Daphnia pulex: one gene and its partner. The protein of the gene in region 2 interacts with the protein of the main gene of each other region in a biochemical or structural test. Links are inferred from orthologs where the notes say so. Each region holds a gene or a part of one and is shown on either strand. Other genes may lie near its edges. The genes, in order: bolA-like protein DDB_G0274169; glutaredoxin-related protein 5, mitochondrial-like.

Region 1 (9,166 bases), on a different chromosome or scaffold from region 2:
TTGGCGTTTCCTTCATTCATTCCAGCGTACCACATCAAATTCTGGCTCATCATCACGGTTACTCCATCAACGACTACGCTCTCGATTAAGCCGTTGGCGTCGAAATTGACCGACAGTTTCTGCACATTAGACACCCCCCGGCGGCAGCGGAGAATATACGCACGTACGTATGGATACCAAACTTGGGTTATCATGGCATATGATGAATGATTGTGTTTTAGATTACCCCATTGCTGACGGCGATTCTTTCGCCGGCTTCTGCCATACGAACGGTTGTCGACTGCCGCTCCCTGCTGCTGGTGATGGTGGAATGTTGCTGACCGTGCCGAGCGCTAGATTTCACGATGTAGAACGTTTTGTGGCCGAGCGCTGGAATGCTGGCCGCCTGGAACACTAACTCGTGTGTAGCTGATGATTTGGGTCTTTCAGTTTCGATCGATCGGAGTGCCGCATTGACGAGCGGGACCAGTTGGACGATCAGCTCGCTACCTGTTGGTATTGTGAACGACAATCAATCAACTTTCAGGCGTCTTTGTGGCGAGACCCACTCCCTTTTTTTTCTTGATTATTAAATTTTATTATTATCGAGTCGATTATATTACCGTCGGGGTCCAGAACGGTGTAGACTCCATTCATAACCGGTAATCGGACGTAAGTGGTCACCTCATGAGAGCGCGGATTGTAGACGGTCGTTACGAAACGAGAAGACGATTCCGTAATGGCGCATTGGCTCACGTTCAAATGAAGGCAAAACTCTTGTGGTGGCAATGCCTGGCTGCCGATCGGAAGTAGCTGGCTGGGTTTTCCCCGGTTTAAAATTTGGTTGGTGAATTTTTTGGGTTTGAAAAAAAAAGGAAAATTTGTGAAATTTTGTACCTGAAAGAATTGCCCACATCCTTTTGACAATCGACGAGACTGTCGTGCAATCTCAGCCTATAATCTGGCGGTTAGAAATTATCGTCATTTCACAAAAATTCAATCATTCAACCGTGAACAAACACACTGTGATGTTTACCTTGGGAAACGTGTTCCTTCTCGGTGCCAGCCACAGCATCTTTTTTCGTACAAATATTATACATCAGTGTCATTAGTGTTTTAGCCCGCATGTAATAATAATAATATAATGAAAAGAATCTAAGGCTCTGATTGCCTACCGTGATGTTGTGCCTCTCCCATGCTGCGTCTGAGACTATCAATCAGATTTTGGCCGCCGGCAGATTGGCCAGCCAGCGAATGGAGTTGCTTGCAACTCTATACACGGGAAGTTTGTATTTTTATTCAAGAACACATTTCAACGCTTGCACCTGGTGTCAGTTTTTTTGGTTTTTTGGTTGGGGGGAAATTTGTAGTACCTGAAGGAAAGTGTTGGCTTTCCGCACCGTACCCTTGTAGGCTGGCCGAGATGTAAAATAACCCGTCCAGTAGGCGTGCGGATCATTTGAGTAAGGAAAGAAGTCATCCGTCTTGGTCGGCCACGGCCGGCTTCCGGCTTCGTTGTTGATAGCCTTGACATAACAGCTGGGCGTCGAGTAAAACAGGTTGACTCCGCTGGCCAACTCGTTAGTGTAGCGTATCATTTTATCCATGTTCTTAAAGTTCATGTCAGCTTCAGTGCCCAAAAATTGAATATAAAAAGGGTAGGAAATGAATTGAATTAATTTTTTGAAAGGCCTCATTAGAAACATAACATTTCTGTCATTATTCCGTAGGACATGTCAAGCTCGAGCACTTGTAATAGTATATACCCGACATGTAGTTGAAATCATCGCCCATGGTGAGCATGATATTACTGGTGGAGTAACTGAGAGCCTTGGCTTTGATGTGCGCTTCTAAATCCTTCACCTATTAGACGTTTGAATTGTCGTTTTACTAATTGAAATCGTGCTGAAACGGGAGGATTTATTCGCTTGGATACCTTTTTCACGACGTTGTAGTCGGCAGATCTAGGACTGTCGATAAACGGCTCGTCTCTGCACACGACATCAAAGCAGAAACCGTTGGGAGCCGAGTAATGCTCGTAGAAGATCCCCGTGAAGATGGAATTTGGTTCACCTGTTATATAATAATATCGTTCTCAACGGTTTACAGCGAGCAGCGCAGCTAGACATTGAAGATCTAGGATTTCTGGAAGGGTTCATTACTATACCAGGGCTGTTGCTAGTATGCCAGATCATCTCCATTTCCTTCTTGGCTTTCCGTTGAGTCCTATCAACCCAGTCGATCCTGCCAAAGAAGACACCGTCGAAACCCTACACCGTTTTATATACAGGAGTACAACACGCGAATGACTCGGAAACTAATCAAATCTTCTCTCAAATAGGATCGCATTTCGATTACCATGGAAGCAAATATGGACGCCTGCTCCCTCGAGTGGCCGAACGGATCAATCTGCCAGCCGATTTTAGGGCGGCCACACTCGCCAAATGTATCGTTTAAGAACCTGTGAAAGTGCATTTAAAAGTTATTTGGACGACCTTGGCCCTTTAACTGTCAAGTTACTCGTGTGCGTACCTCATTCCCCAGGTCATTTGATCGATGATGTCGTTGTAGTGCGTTCCAGCTTCGTCGTTCATGCACCAGCCGCCATTTATGAATTCGAGACGGCCTTCTTCAACTAATTGCTTGACGACAGCCTTTTTCTCTTCTGTTTGCTCTTGCCACCTTTGGAAATGGATCAAGTATATAGTTGCTGCCAGTTCTCTATTAAACAGTTTGCATTTTTAATGGCCGAAAATTGCATAATGATTGCCTACCATTGCGAAAAGAAGGCCATTTCCACATAGATGAATCTGAATGAGCCAAAATGGTCGCATTGCAGTCAATTAGTATAATATCCAATTAAAACGGAAAATGTGTGTTCAGAAAACCTCCTTGCCGGATCTTTCACCAACTCCTTGATGACGGAATCAATGATGTACTGTACGCCTGCTCTCTGGTAACCCGTTTTCGCTTGGAAAGTTTGTTGAAAAAGTTAACTTTGAATCGTCATTTTATATTTTAAGTGTTCATATTTACAGCCATAGTAGTATTGATCGACCGTTTTCAACCACCCGACGTCGTCGTGTGTATCTGCGGAAAGTGTATCACAACGTGATTAATTGGACAAACGAAAGAATCAAACAAAAGTTAATTTTATAATTTTTCATACGCGGAACGACGTGAACATTGATCACTCCCGGTTTACTCGGCGTACAGCTCTGCGATAAAGAAAAAATCAATATGGCAGTAATGTGATATATTTACACTTAAAAAAAAAAAAAAAAATTTGTTAAAAGAAATATGTTTCTGTTTACATCATAGCCGCAGGAAGAGGCTCGCTGCTGGGGAGCGGCGTCGGTCGTGATCCAACAGCAACCGAACGCTAGAAGCGAAACGATGCCGATAAAGGGTAGCTTCATCTTGTATAAAGCTGAAATGCTGATGGTCTCAGCACTGGTGCGACAAGGAAACGTCTGGCGAAAAATCTCCGGTTCAGTTCAGAGTTAGTTCACTGTACGTATCTCTTCAACTTTCACTTGCATCTCTGAAGTCTGGAATATTTGGTTTTGTTTGTCCGGTTTATCTAATCGCTGAGGCTAGATCCAACGGTCGACTTGACTTACACACTGCTGGCCCATCAAATAAGCGGGTAACAGCATGTCAAATTATTCTTATATATTCACCCGCAGTAACATGTTAGCAACACAGCACAGCAGAAAATCGCTTTTTTAACTTGAGATGATCGGATAAGTTTTTTGTTTACGCTTCTCGTAACGTGGAATCTTGACTAACAATCCGATGAGTGGCAGTGTAAATATTTGTTTATTTCGGAGCACTCTGAACCAGAAAGAAAGATATTTTAAGATGTTTATTTGATAACAGAATATTGAGCGAAGATGACAGATAGCAGTGTGGCTGCGCATTTATGTTACACAACACAACTGACATTTGATGATTTAACTCACAAGAAAAAAACACATCTAGCTAATGAATGACCTCAATGACTTACACAGTTTTTCAAATCACAGCAGATAATTCCGAATGATTAATTTGGTATAATAATTTCAAATATTGTCGATTTTCTTTTTAAAATGCATCAAGATCGGCATCGTTGCCTAGAAAGAAAACAACAACATCGCAACTTTCGTCTGCTTTTTCGTCTGCATTTTTAACAAGAAGTGTAAGTAGGGCTTAATCACGACTTAATCTAAATTTACTTTGATTGATTTAAAATTCTCCGTTTGAACAGGGTTGCTGCGGATGATAATGATATGCTAGCTCGAACTTTTAGAGTTTTGTCCCCTTTTCATTCATCATTTTCATCGAGGACTATGACTACCATTCCGATTCAAAACAACCCAATGGAAATGTCAATTCGTGTAAAGCTCACTAATCAATTTTCACCAGTTCATTTAGATATATTCAATGAGTCATACATGCATAATGTACCGAAAGGAAGTGAGACTCATTTCAAGGTTGTGGTTGTTTCAAGCAAATTTGAAAACACACCATTGTTACAGGTATCAAGGCATTAACAATTTACATTTCAAGATTGAATTTTGATTTGATTTTTCTTATTATTAGAGGCATAGGTTGGTAAATGAAGTACTCTGTGATGAGCTAAAAAATGGAGTTCATGCTTTATCAATTGTTGTGAGTTACATTGGTTAACTTTAGAAATGATCTATGGTGGTAACTAATATTATAATTTGTTTAATCACTAGGCAAAAACACCTTCACAATGGGAAGGTTCATCTAAAGTTACTGAAAAAAGTCCAGCATGTAAAGGTGGTTTTGGCAAATAACTATTGGGCTCTTTAAATATTCAAAGCTGCTTTCAAACATCAGTCAGTAAATAAATGTATTTGTTTCACTCTTCCAGGTGTCTCAAACAGACTTACTGAATTATTATTCAATCTTTTCCTAAAACTTTAAGATTATTTTATGAGTATTAAAATTAAAATTTCAAATTTTACACTGTAGTTGGTGACATATAAATAGGGTTATTCCAGAAACATATATTCTTGCTTTACTGAAGATGTATTAGGAAGTGTAATTAAATTCCAATTCAACTTCAATACGACAAGCTTCAGCCTCAGCGATTTGTTTCACACATATTACATTTGAACCCACCGACCGTAGAATCCACCAAGTAGAACATCTTATTAATAATTCAGTCATTCATTTTTAGGGTTGTTTGACCTAGCCCGTATGTTTAACGAAGCAAACAATTCTTCTCCTCACATTTTCAATTTTTCATATTGACAGTCAATATTCATATTTGGCTGAATTCTCGTGAAAAGAAAAATTAAATACTTGCTTCTTATTTACGATTGAAATTTTAGCTGCCGCTGCAGTCATCTAAATTCTAAAATTACATTATTATTTTTTATCGACATAGCACATAGCCGGGAAAACATATGAATCGCGTGGTCGACTATGTATCGATTACTTAATCGATTCGATTATATTTTGAACACCGTTGAGCGGTGGCGGTGCAGATTCGTCAACTGATCATCACATTGCAAACAGTCTTTAAGCCAGCAGGTGTTTGGAAGTGGTCATTGTTTTTGTTGCTAATGCTCAAATCCGCAAATAACATAAGAAAACATCACTAACAATGGCAGAAGTTTCCCTGAGAGAACCAAGTGCTGCTCAAGAAAAGACTTTTGTCAGTGTGTTTCATGAGCTTTGTACAAAATTTGACTTTGGAGTAGCCATGTATAACTTGGTGGCTGAGCAAGGCGAACCCCACAGTCGAACTTTCTTGATGAATTTGACTGTAGACATGTTGGGTATTTCAGGTAACCCTTTAATTGCTATAAATTATCGTTAAAAATCTGCAAATAATTGAAATTTGATCTATCTATCACCAGTTGAAGGCATTGGCTTAACCAAGATGCAAGCAAAGCATGATGCTGCCTATAAAATGATGCTTCAAATCAGGGAGACTTATCGAGCCGATGGAACTCTCAACAATGTCCCCAGAGTAAAACTCGTGAACTGCTGTGAATGGTTTGTTCAATTTGTTTCTATTTTTTCTACGGGCCTCTTTTATAGACTTTTTTTTTGAGCAGGCTGGAAAAATGTGGAACACTAAAGGAAGACATACCCAAACCACCAACAGAACCAACTCTAAATCCATCTGGGGTTCTCACAGAATGGTGTTTGACCAGACACAGCAGTCTTCCTGATTACAGGGTTGTTCGAACTTCAGGTCCTTCTCACTCCAAAACATATTTTATGACTTGCAAGCTTGGGGATCGTATCACTGAAGGTAGGGTTTATCATTTGAAATTTTATTCTCAACATTTTTGGAAAACACCTTACTTTTGTATCAGGTGAGGGAAAGTCAAAGAAGGCTGCCAAAAATGTCGCTGCCGGAAAAATGCTCCAGATACTTTAAGACGAAGAGTTGTAATAGCTATTCCGAGAAACGTGATTTCATAAGTGCACGCTGGATATGGAAAACGATATGAACTTGTAAAAATTTGTCCCGTTCAGTTCTTGCAGGGCCTACACATTTTCGCTGTAGTAGAGGTAAAGCAACATTCATGTTGATTGTTTAAATTTTAATATGGACTCGTGGCCTTGTAATTTTGCTGTACGTATGTAAAATATTAACGGTGGGTGCTTACCATTCTGGGACGTTTTCAGGTTTATCACAAAAGAAAGTAGCAGGGTTGTAGATTGTACCAAGTGGACATCCTCCTAATCGAGGTCGACCACTCTTCAAGCACATGAAGAAATGTCGACAATCTCCCTTCTGTTTTTCATTATTGAATTTAGTAATGGAATTCCAGGAGGGTATCTAGACAAATTCTCACTTTTGGAAAGCGTTCGTGATCGCCAAATTGCAGTACAACTTCGTCTGATTGAACATTAGATCCGTGGGGGCATGTGAAGTCCAAGATCTTTTCAGCTTTGCATTTTAAAAGTGGTTTTAAAGGAAATTTTAACTAATTTGAATATTTTAGGCACCTGAGCATTCGGTACGATTAGCCATATCGGGAAACTCGCAAACAGCTTGGTCAATGTCGAAAATTAAACCTTATAAAGGATGTTTTTAAAATTTAGGTCTCGTTTTGAATTTTGGCACAACGTTGTTTACCTGGCGGGCAGTTTACTTTGGTGGGTGTGCCTTGTTCACATTCACTATAAGCAAAGCATTCATTTTCGATGGGAAATCTTCCGTAGAGTCTTGGGCAGAGGGCGTTTCCTTGTGGCGATTCTTTTAAGATACAAGATTTTTGTGGTCATTGTTTAACAAAGTAATTAGAATACCAAATGTTTTGCTCACGTAAGCGCTTCCTTCTGCCGCATTTAACCCTTTGAATCATGAAACAGGCCTGGCTTTCAGGCTCATAGACCTGTCCGTCTGGACAAAGTTCTTCAGTTATTTGCCCATCCTTACATTTGTAAAATAGGTCACACTGATCCGAATCAGCGATGTAGTAAGGGAATCGTCTTTTTCGACATAGCCGCACGGGATCGCCATTGGTCACGTAAGCCAAGATATTTACTATAATACATGGGAAAAAAACGATTTTGATTTTGGTGAGGTTCACTCGGTATAATATGGGGAAAGTAACCTGCGAATGCGCAGTAAATCAACGTTGCAACACACTTGACCATGGTTTACGACACAGCAATGATTGCTCAATGACTCGACAAGGACTCGGCACGACGTCCTTTATGTACTTTACTTGATCTGTACTGCATGACCATTGAGTAGAAATCCTGCTATCTCTTCCACGAACCCCCTATTATGGGAAAATTGGATGGCGATTCGATGTAATACGGAATAGCCAAGGACGTGCTCGTTATCTCTTTTGGGTTCCCAAGGAAAGCTTTAGCGTTGAGGATGTTTCTGTTATTGTCTTTTAGTTTATCTCGGCGTATTATCTCAAATTTCCCTGTAACAGAAATAATCCTTCAGAAATTAGATATGTGGGTATGTTTTCTTGAAACAAAAACGAGCTCTAGTCACTATTCCTCGCCGAGTTAGATTGCAAAAAGATTCAACCACGCCATAATTATTGTTTGTAATCATCCCCACAGATTTCGATTTCTACGTATGTACTTTCTGTTTTCCCGCAAAGAAGCTTTCGCTTTCGAATTCAACAGTTATTATTGACTACCATACTGGCCAAGAACAAAGATCAAGAAACCTGCGGCAATTATTTGTAACATACCTTTCTACTCGCCACCGCCTTATTGTACAGGTTAGTCTACCCACATAGGCCTCGTGCTGTTTTTCTCAATGAGGAATACCTTGGTACCTCCTCTTTTCAGTGCCTGGAGCTCTCTGTAAGGCTTTCACGCTGTCTAGAAAAATTCGTATAAAATGGGTTCCTCCAAGCGCGAATGCAAGTCAGTGCGCTCACCATTGCCATGCTGTTCTCATGGCTAGTTTCAGTTTTGTTGGCAATCCTTCACGCTGTAGCGTGGTGTGGCCTCTTGGCGTTTATTTGTCTCGTCTTTTGGTCCAACAATAACCGAGCGTTCGCCCGTTTAGTCTTTCTCGTGTCTCCGTTAAATGCAGTACAGTATTCTAACTCTTAACCAGCCCAATCTTTACATTTGAGGACATTTTCTTACGATTTTTGTTTCGATAGGTGATGCGTCTCTAAATTTTGCTTGAAGGACGACAAGAGTTATACTGGATTACTGGTCTGCATTTAATGTATACGATGTTATATAATACTCGTTTACTACTTACGACGGCAAAACATTTTGCTTACTCGTTTCTCATCATCAATTATTGTAAATTCCTATTGTGCTTCCACTATCGCCGGTGTTAATCCTACGCTACTGCTCGAATTCGCCAGTAGCCTTTCACTGCTTGTTATCTTCTTGTGTCTCTAAATACAGACAAGAGTTGACCTCTCAGCCGCTTAAAATGTTCTGTAAATGTAGGCCGCCATATCACAATGAAAACAACCTGCAATTTTCCTTAAATCCTTTTTAAGCGATCCGAACGGTATGCTTGTTAAAGGCTACACATGTTTTTACCATATGTTTCACCAACTGCACATCGGCTATAGCATAGTAATCTGTACTAGGTAAATTTGGAATCAAATTAAATATATATTTTTTTAATTAGTAGGTTACAAAATTAGGTCCCCTTAACCAGTTCTATCTGTTTACAGTCTTTTTAGCTAGAACTAGTTCTCTACCTGTTACA
Region 2 (8,583 bases):
TTCTGCTTGATAAGTAGGAGTTTCTTGATGACTAAGAGAGTGAGGAGCTTCTGCCGGATTGGCTGGAGCTTTTTGAAGATTGAGAGTACCAGGAGCTTCTGCCGGAGTAGCTGGAGCTTCTAGAATAATGAGAGGACGAGGAGCTTCTGCCGGAGTAGCTGGAGCTTCTTGAATATTGAGTGTGCAAGCAGTTTTTTCGTTGCTAGAGGAGCTCAAGAGATTTTTGGACTCCATTGCATCTACACCATCTAAGTTTGCAAATTTGAGGTTAGTTGCTTTCAGCTCGTCTTCAAACCTTTTTTCGTCTTTGTTTCCACTGGATTTGACCGGAATATCTGAGATTGATAGCCCTTTTTTTGGTCGTTGTTGGAGACTGGCTGTTCCAGGCTCCTTTTCCATCGGGACTTCTTTTGACTGGGCTGATTTGACGTTTTGGTCGCTGTAGCAACTTTTCGCGTTCGATGATGTGATTTTTTCTGCTCCATCCAGTTTTGCTGAGTTTTCTAACTTTGAAACAAAGGAATTATTTTCTTTTATTTCGTTCCTTTCAAACCTTTTTTTGTCGGGATATCCGTCTGGCCCATCCGGAGAATCCGAGAGTGAGTCTCCTTTTTTCGGTGGGTGAGGGAGACTGGCCGTTCCAGTCTCTTTTTCTTCCGTCTGGATATTTTCTTTTGACTGGTATGAAGGGGTGTTTTGAAAACTACAGCTTGTTGTCGTAAGCGACGACACTTCTAGTGGAGTTGGGTTTGGCACTAATACTGCTGCAAATTGAGATGTTGAGAGGGTTTTGAGAATTGACTCTATTACTGGATTTGTTTGAGAAGCTGGCTCCTGAGAAGCTGTTGGTGATAAGTTGACATCTCCTGGAGCGACGGGCACTGAATAGGCTGTTGAGATGGCTGCGATCACCTGACTGATTATGTCCCGATTGAGTTGTGCTTGGGTTGCTGCCTGGTGTTGGAGAATTTGGAGCATTCTTTCTCTGTCCTTCTCCCATTCTTCGTCATCTGCTTCCTTTTCGAGTTTGTCTAACCATTCTCTTCGTTTTTTCTTTAAGATGTGAATTTTGGCGACAATAACATCGTCCATTGTTTGGTACATGGTGTCGATGTCTGCATTGATCTCTTCTTGGTCTTCGCCTTCTTTGTACATTTCAGCCTGGACCCTTTTTGAGAATATCTCATAAGTTTTGTAGAATCCATCTAGCTTTTTTTCTAATTTTTCGACTTCGATAAACGCTTCCAACGTCATTTCTGTTGATTTGTACGTTTCGACGAGGTTAATGATACGGGTGATATGCTTTTTAATTAAAGTTCTTGCGTAATTTGGAGCCATTGTGAGTTGGAGGTGGCTCCTAAGGAGCTGCTGAGAGTACGAAAAGAAGATAATTAGTTTAAATTAATGTTTTGATTAAGTTGATTAGCCTTTTTGTTTGTTGTTCTGCTCGGTCTTCGGAGATTCGTGGTGCCGAATTAAATTCTGCTGTCTTTTCCACTTTCTTTGAATTCCTTTATGTGAAGATATCTGCAAAAACTGAATGATTTTGGAGCTAGGGTAATTTTCTAGCTCCTTACAATCCCACAAACGGCATAATAACAATTTTTTAGGAAAGAGAATTTAAAGAGTTTTTGCCGCAAGACGGCGGTTTCTAATTCCCAATTTTGTGCTCAGAGGGCGCTTTGTGCCTTCTCAGAAAAAGAGAAAGATTTCCCTTTAAGCAAACAAAAAATGCGAGAGCGTAAGAGCGCGAGATTTGTTTCGAAATGGCGGAAGGCCTTTGTAAATAGAGAGAGAGAAAAAAAATTCAAGTTTTAATCACCCTAAGGCGCACACGAGGCGAACGCGTTGAAAGGGTAGAGAATTTTCCCGCGTTTTTTCCAGTTTAAAGGGGAAACCGGCCTAGCCCCCCAAAAAAGAGAATATTTTTCTGTCGTATTTAGAGAGATCGTTGTGCCTTCTGAGACAGAGAGAGATTTACCCAAATGATTGAATAACAAACAATGCAAATTAAAAAAAATGAGAGAGATTTGTTTTCGGGAAATGGTCTAAGGCCATAGCAAAGAGAGCGATAATTTATTTAAGTCTTTTCACCCTGGGGCTCACACGAGGCGAACTCATTGAAGGGTTAGAGAAGTTCCCGCGTTTTCCCAATCTAAGAGGTAGGGAAGCAAGCCCCCCCAAAAAAAATTCTTGAAAGGAAAGAGATTCCCGCGTTATCCCATTTTTAAAGAACGGGCAGTGAACCCAATCAGCTGAGATTCGTTTTGACAATGCCGGGAGGCGTATCAAGAGATAGAGAGAGAATATCACCTAAGGCTCACACGAGGTGAACACGTTAAAGAGGTAGGGAAGTTCCCGATTTTTCCCGATCTAAGAGATGGAAAGGCAATATCCACAAAATTCTTTGAAAGGGAAGAGAGAATAATTTTACTTAGGCGATGATAATTTGCGTGACAAGAAAAGAATCCCCCTTCAAAAATGATTTAGGAATCGTATTCTAATTTTAAGAAACTTTGAGGAAATATTTTAGCTTTAATTCAAGAGAGAGAAGAGAAATAATTTACTGTTTAAAGGGATCTATTTGCTTACTAGACCCCTGAGAACAAGTTAAACTCAGAGGGAGAGAAAAAGATTCTAATAAATGACTGACCTGCCATAATTAAACACAATTTTCTTTGATAAATGGCGGCAATGATTAAGCAAAAGGAGATAACGAGAGAAAGATTTGAGTGTGATAGAGCGAAACTAACTTAACACTGGTTGGAGAAAACTCCGGTTCGAAGGACCATGTTGGAAATGGAACTCTTGTTGGCGGTGTCGACCGTTCAACTTCCAAGATTGAGATAAGAGATGACACCTTTGTTGTTGCTAGTTCGTCCTTATATTTCACACTGCCGTATAATACAGCATTTTGGTATTTCAATAGTTGGTTTAGGGTTGAGTAGGGTAGGGAACAATAGATTGAATGGGAAGAGAGGGTAAAATCGGGGCCCTCTGTTGAGGTCCCTACAAATTACACAGAATTAACAGTAGCAATAATGTCGATCACTGTTGGGATGCAATAAATTCCCAACAAATATTATTACACACTGATTTGCTTAACAAATTTTAAAACTTACCATAGTGATAATTGACATCGAAAAGTTCTTCTCCCCAATCTTGTTGGTGACCTTCTTCCTCCCAGTCAAAATCTTGCTCCCCGTCTGAGTTCTCCTCTTCTTGTTCCTCCTGAGCTTCTACATCTTTAAACAATTATTAACATTACTAAATTTTTAAAAATTAAAATGTAATTTTACTTACTGTGGCAGTTTTCAGTCAGATAGTGGTGGTGTTCCTCGCATCTGAAAGGAAGATCACAGAGAAAGGGATACATGATTGGCCCTAGGTAAAATTTATCCTAACCTATCCTAACCTAAATTTTAAACTTACAATGGGCAGAGGTAGGGCGGGTATTCACTCATTTCAATTCAATTGTTTAGATTAAAAGTTGTAAAATGTAGCAAATTTTGCTTTAGTTTCAATCTGAAATTTCCACGTCGTCTGCTCAGTTTTTTTTCCCGCTTTTTGACCACCGTTGCCAGGTTCTTATTTTTCAACTGTCACCAGACACAGAACCATAGACAAAGACCACTGGTTGATGCTGTGCTATCCTTTTAGCCCTATCCCTACTGACCCCGAGCTCCCGTATCGATTGTAGTGCCTCTAGCGGACAAAGTACTGTACTGCACCGAGGCTACGAAGGGTTTTGCAGACGAAGATTGTTTTCCTTCTGTCTTGGTAAAATTCTTTGCTGGCGTTTAATAGTTTTAGGTAATTTTGCCTTAAAATTTTTTATTAAGAAGTCAAATTGTATTAAATTTTGACATTAGCTAATTACAAAAGCAGAGAAATCAATTGAATCATTGCAATTGAATAGAAGTAAGCAGAGTGTAGAGATGAAAACGTACACTAGAGGGCAGGACAAGTAATACGGGGTTGGAGAAATCGGAGGAAGGGTAGCAAGAATTCTGGCGACAGTTGGCCATGTTAAATGTTAATTTTCTTATGAAGAGCTTCAACCAGTGGTCTTTGTCTATGACAGAACCGTGGATGAATCGGAAACAGGCTTTATTACAGGAAAGTTTAATGTGATATTGTTTTCTCATGAATTTAGATTGTTGGGGAAGTCCTAAAGCAGCTGACGGAGGAAAAATTATTGTGACTGAGAAATACAGTTGATGAAAAACAAATAAAATTTCAAGTTATTCTTCCTTTTTTTCTTGTTCAAGTAAAGCTGATTGGATTCCAACTTTTTGTAGTTCTTCTATTAACTCCCCGTTTTTGTGCATTTGTAAAAGAATATCACAACCACCAACAAACTCACCACCAATGAAAATTTGTGGTATTGTAGGCCAGTTTGTAAATTCCTTGATACCTTAAAAAAAGGAAACATGTATGTTAGGTTACAATTTCTTTTAAACTGAGTAATGTTCAAAATTACCTTGACGAATACTCTCATCAGCCAAAACATTGTGAGCATCATAATTTGTTACTCCATGCATTCTGAAAATTTGAACAACTGCATTACTAAAGCCGCACATAGGCTGCTCAGGAACCCCCTTCATGAAGACAACAACTTTGTTTTTCTTAACCATCTGTTCATACTGATCTTTTGGTGACACAGTGCAAAGATAGGCTATTGAAATTGGCCTGTTAAGCACAGCCGCTTGAAGAAAGACTTTAGAACACTTTTGCATGACACCAGTCATCTTGCGGAAAATTGATTAATTGAATTTAGGACAGGTGAATGAACCCTATCTGCTTTTACATAACATTTAAAATCGACACATTGCAACCGAATACGAATATGGCTGCATTACAGGTTTCTAAGCTTGCATCTGTTCTTGCCCGATGCTTACCGTCAGACTTGAAGAACGCCGCAAAATTCAAAGTAAAAGTGATGGAATTTGATACACATTTGAATATGGTTAGTTTTGGTTTTTATTATTTATATAAAATTTTTTAACTGTAGGCCTCTATATTTTTTAGCACTTTTCAAAACATGTTACAGTGTACGCACATGATCCAAGTAGTGTGTGCAAACCTGGTGATGTTGTGATGATTGATCTGTTACCCAAAAAGCTGACGAAAAACATCACCCACCAAGTCAATAAGGTTAATGAAAATTCACTCTAAAAAGATTTGCATTTTTACAGTTGTGATTATTTTGCTAGATTGTATACACATTTGGGGATATAACAGATCCTATAACAGGGAAAAAAGTTGTTGTGGGCAAATATCGGTAAGTTATTTTTTTTTTGTAACCTATTTCAGCTATTTCAAACAGCTTGCATATTTTTACATTCAGTGATGAAATTGAGGCCAGGAATGAACTTTATGGGAAAAATCCATCTGGATTTGATTACACCAGGTATTTCCACTTCTGCTTCAACATGTTGAATCTTCTCATTAAATGTATACATTACACAGGGCTCCGGACAGAGGATGGCAAGTTGGAAAGAGAGATTTCTCAGATAAAGATACTTACAAAAAATATCACATGTTTGAACATGATGAACCCTATGCTGTTTAGTTGATAAAAGCCTTGTGGGCTTCTTATTATAAAAACAAGTTGATAATAAACTGAAACGAATCTGTGAACGGAAACGGGTCCGCTCACTGATTTGAACAACGCGCTGATTTATCAAAAATCGGTTAACTGAAACGAATCCGATTATGAATCAGCTAGAGGCGCTAGAGGGTACTGGTAGGCATAACGTTATTGCCTTCATGCGACTCTAGCGTAAGAGAACGGAAAAGTCGGAAACCAATCCGTTCTACGGCCCTCAAAAAATCCGTTTTTTAACGACACGGAATCGGATCAGTATCAGTTCACTGGTGAAGACTGTGTTGCCTACGTTGCATGAGTTACAAATTACTCGTGTGAGTGACGTATTATTGATTGTCAGTTGTCGGCCTTGTCGCTTGTCAGAGACTTGGGCAGTTGGCACTTAGCTTCTGTATCTATTTCAGCTATTTCATTGTTCTTTCATCTTCTGAATTCATGTACTGTACATGAAAGGCTTATTTGTTTGACTGTTTCTGTATAGCCTTTGCAATGGGTAATGCTGACACAAAACTCAACTTCCGTAAAGCTGTTGTTCAACTTACATCAAAAACACAGGTCAGAATTCAAAAGATTTAAAAATCTGTTTTTTCTTTAACGTTTCGATATTAATTTATGAAAATGAAGCCCATTGATCCTTCGGATAACACTTTCTGGTCCCAGTTTTGGTCAGAGAGCATCACAAATATCCAAGATGTTTTTACATTAATTCCTGCTACAGAAATACGTGTTCTAAGAGAAGAATGTCCATCAAATTTAGCAACATTATGCTACAAAGCTGTTGAAAGACTAGTAAGTGCTGCAGACTCATCGTGTGCTACTCAGCAAGAACATAGTACTGGTAAAGTAATCTTTAAATGCAAGTTTTCCGCATTTATTTTCATATGACTTTATTTTCTATCCTAGTTATCAACTGTGTTCGCATACTCACAAGACTGCTTCCTTACATCTTCGAAGATCCTGACTGGCGTAGTTTTTTCTGGTCTAGTTTACCCAGTAGCTCTAAGCAACAGTTCAAAGATGATGGTGAAAATCCAGAGGGCCATGCAGAAGAATCTGTTCCCCTTGCCCAATCTTTACTAAATGCACTTTGTGATCTTCTCTTTTGCCCAGATTTCACAGTTTATTCTAGTAAAAAATTTGGACCTGTAAGTTATATCCATTATATAAAATTTAGGTTTCTTTTCTGTAACTTGAATTTATCCTGTAGGACAAACATGAAGATCTCCATTCAATAGATAGCTGTGAATTTATATGGGAAGCTGGTGTTGGGTTTGCCCATGCTGCTCCACATGATCCACGCCTTGATAATAATAGAAATGAGATTTTGAAGCTTCTGTTGACTTGTTTTAGTCAAGCAATGTATCATCCACCTGGGAGTAAGTAGTTTTTCTGTTATTTTTATACATTTCAAATTACATTTTAAAATCGATGTTTTAGGTGAAAGTGAGGCTCCTAACAAATGGGTCCAACATTTCACATCACCGGAGAATCGCCATGCATTGCCCTTATTTACTTCACTTTTGAATGTCCTCTGTGCATATGACCCCGTTGGACTCGGTTTACCATATAATCATTTACTGTTCACCGACAGTCGTGAACCTTTGGTAGAGACAGCTTTACAACTCCTAATTGTTACTCTTGATTGGGATTCATCTGCTCAATGCTCGCAATTGAATACTATTGACGAGGTATAAATCAGTTTTAAGTTATTTGTAACATTCAGTTTAAGTACATTTGTTGCTTTAATTTATTGGTGCAGCAGAGCGGAATGATCCACGAAAATTTGTTCATCAATTATTTGTCGCGCATTCACCGAGAAGAAGACTTTGCTTTCATGCTTCATGGATTCACTCGTCTCCTAAAAAATCCTTTGATACAAACATACCTGCCTAATTCTAATAAGAAAGTTCAGAATCACCAAGAATTACTTGTGTTTTTCTGGAAGGTGTGCGATTTTAACAAGGTAATTATCCTGTCTTCTCAAATTCTTTCAGACTATGCGTTTTTCAATTAATTGTTTTCATAACAGAAATTCCTGTACTATGTCCTAAAATCGAGTGACGTACTCGATGTATTAGTTCCTATTCTATTTCATCTCAATGATTCTCGTGCTGATCAGTGTAAGTCGCTATACCTAGACGGCTGAAGAAATAATATGATAATCCGATATTTAATTTTTTGCTTAGCTCGCGTTGGACTAATGCACATTGGAGTTTTTATCCTTCTTCTGTTGAGTGGTGAACGAAATTTTGGAGTTCGTCTGAATAAGCCATATACGGCGACCGTCCCCATGGACATTCCAGTATTCACAGGTGGTTATTTACATATTATTGATTCCAAAACAATTTTGTTATTCTAATGAATTTTAGGTACGCATGCCGATTTGCTGGTGGTTGTATTCCACAAGATAATCACTACAGGACATCAACGTCTTCAGCCATTGTTTGATTGTCTACTGACAATTCTCGTAAATGGTAAGTTCTACTTCGTTTCGTTATCTTTTGCCAACTCAGCTAAAGTCTTGTCCAACTGAGATTTCCATGGTCTTGGAGGAGGACATTTGCGGAAATCGTCAAGGCCAAGATCGGCGATGGGTGAGCCATCACCATCGCACCTCGCACCAACCACGATGGATAGTAGTCGTGCGTTTTTTACTAACCAGGCAAGGCTGCAGTCACACGCGATAGGATTGCCCGCCACATAGAATTTTGAACCTTCCAAAATAGCCGAGTCGATTATAGGTCCGTAAATGTTGTCTGTTAGGGATGCGATGTTGTTTAAACTTAGGTCGACAAGATACGGCATATTATCTGTTAGGAGTAAATCCGGTTAGGTTTTGATTTAGTACTTTTTATCTTATGTAATTATAACAAATTGCACCTTCTGAAAAAGCCTGTTCTAGTGAACTTAGTTGATTGGCACGTAAACGTAGCTGCCACCGATCAGAGGAAACGTGAAACGCACCAGGAGCT

Evidence for each region.
Region 1: the proteins of glutaredoxin-related protein 5, mitochondrial-like (region 2) and bolA-like protein DDB_G0274169 form a complex in vitro, tested with the Homo sapiens proteins (2 studies listed by BioGRID). The link is inferred for Daphnia pulex from reciprocal best matches to the Homo sapiens genes GLRX5 and BOLA1.

The regions. Positions count from the first base shown.
Region 1 is NC_060028.1:8,962,270-8,971,435, forward strand, and holds bolA-like protein DDB_G0274169, read left to right. Parts: upstream 1-3,579; 5' UTR 3,580-3,628; exon of another isoform or gene 3,629-4,017; intron 4,018-4,080; 5' UTR 4,081-4,159; intron 4,160-4,228; 5' UTR 4,229-4,250; coding exon 4,251-4,499; intron 4,500-4,563; coding exon 4,564-4,632; intron 4,633-4,703; coding exon 4,704-4,784; 3' UTR 4,785-4,857; downstream 4,858-9,166. Other genes in the region: lysosomal alpha-mannosidase-like, read right to left, coding at 1-119, 227-489, 603-796, 877-940, 1,016-1,054, 1,155-1,251, 1,353-1,606, 1,746-1,842 and 9 more; RISC-loading complex subunit TARBP2-like, read left to right, coding at 5,600-5,783, 5,856-5,994, 6,057-6,256, 6,321-6,385; protein obstructor-E-like, read right to left, coding at 6,496-6,508, 6,618-6,745, 6,807-6,901, 6,961-7,029, 7,091-7,210, 7,280-7,501, 7,572-7,614. UniProt on the Homo sapiens protein: Acts as a mitochondrial iron-sulfur (Fe-S) cluster assembly factor that facilitates (Fe-S) cluster insertion into a subset of mitochondrial proteins. Probably acts together with the monothiol glutaredoxin GLRX5. May protect cells against oxidative stress.
Region 2 is NC_060027.1:5,369,867-5,378,449, reverse strand, and holds glutaredoxin-related protein 5, mitochondrial-like, read right to left. Parts: upstream 4,796-8,583; 5' UTR 4,752-4,795; coding exon 4,484-4,751; intron 4,418-4,483; coding exon 4,245-4,417; 3' UTR 4,118-4,244; downstream 1-4,117. Other genes in the region: 28S ribosomal protein S17, mitochondrial-like, read left to right, coding at 4,850-4,969, 5,032-5,157, 5,217-5,284, 5,351-5,413, 5,473-5,575; slit homolog 1 protein-like, read right to left, coding at 8,093-8,421, 8,492-8,583; protein HID1-like, read left to right, coding at 6,101-6,166, 6,236-6,449, 6,515-6,756, 6,819-6,987, 7,049-7,299, 7,371-7,574, 7,641-7,731, 7,798-7,923 and 1 more.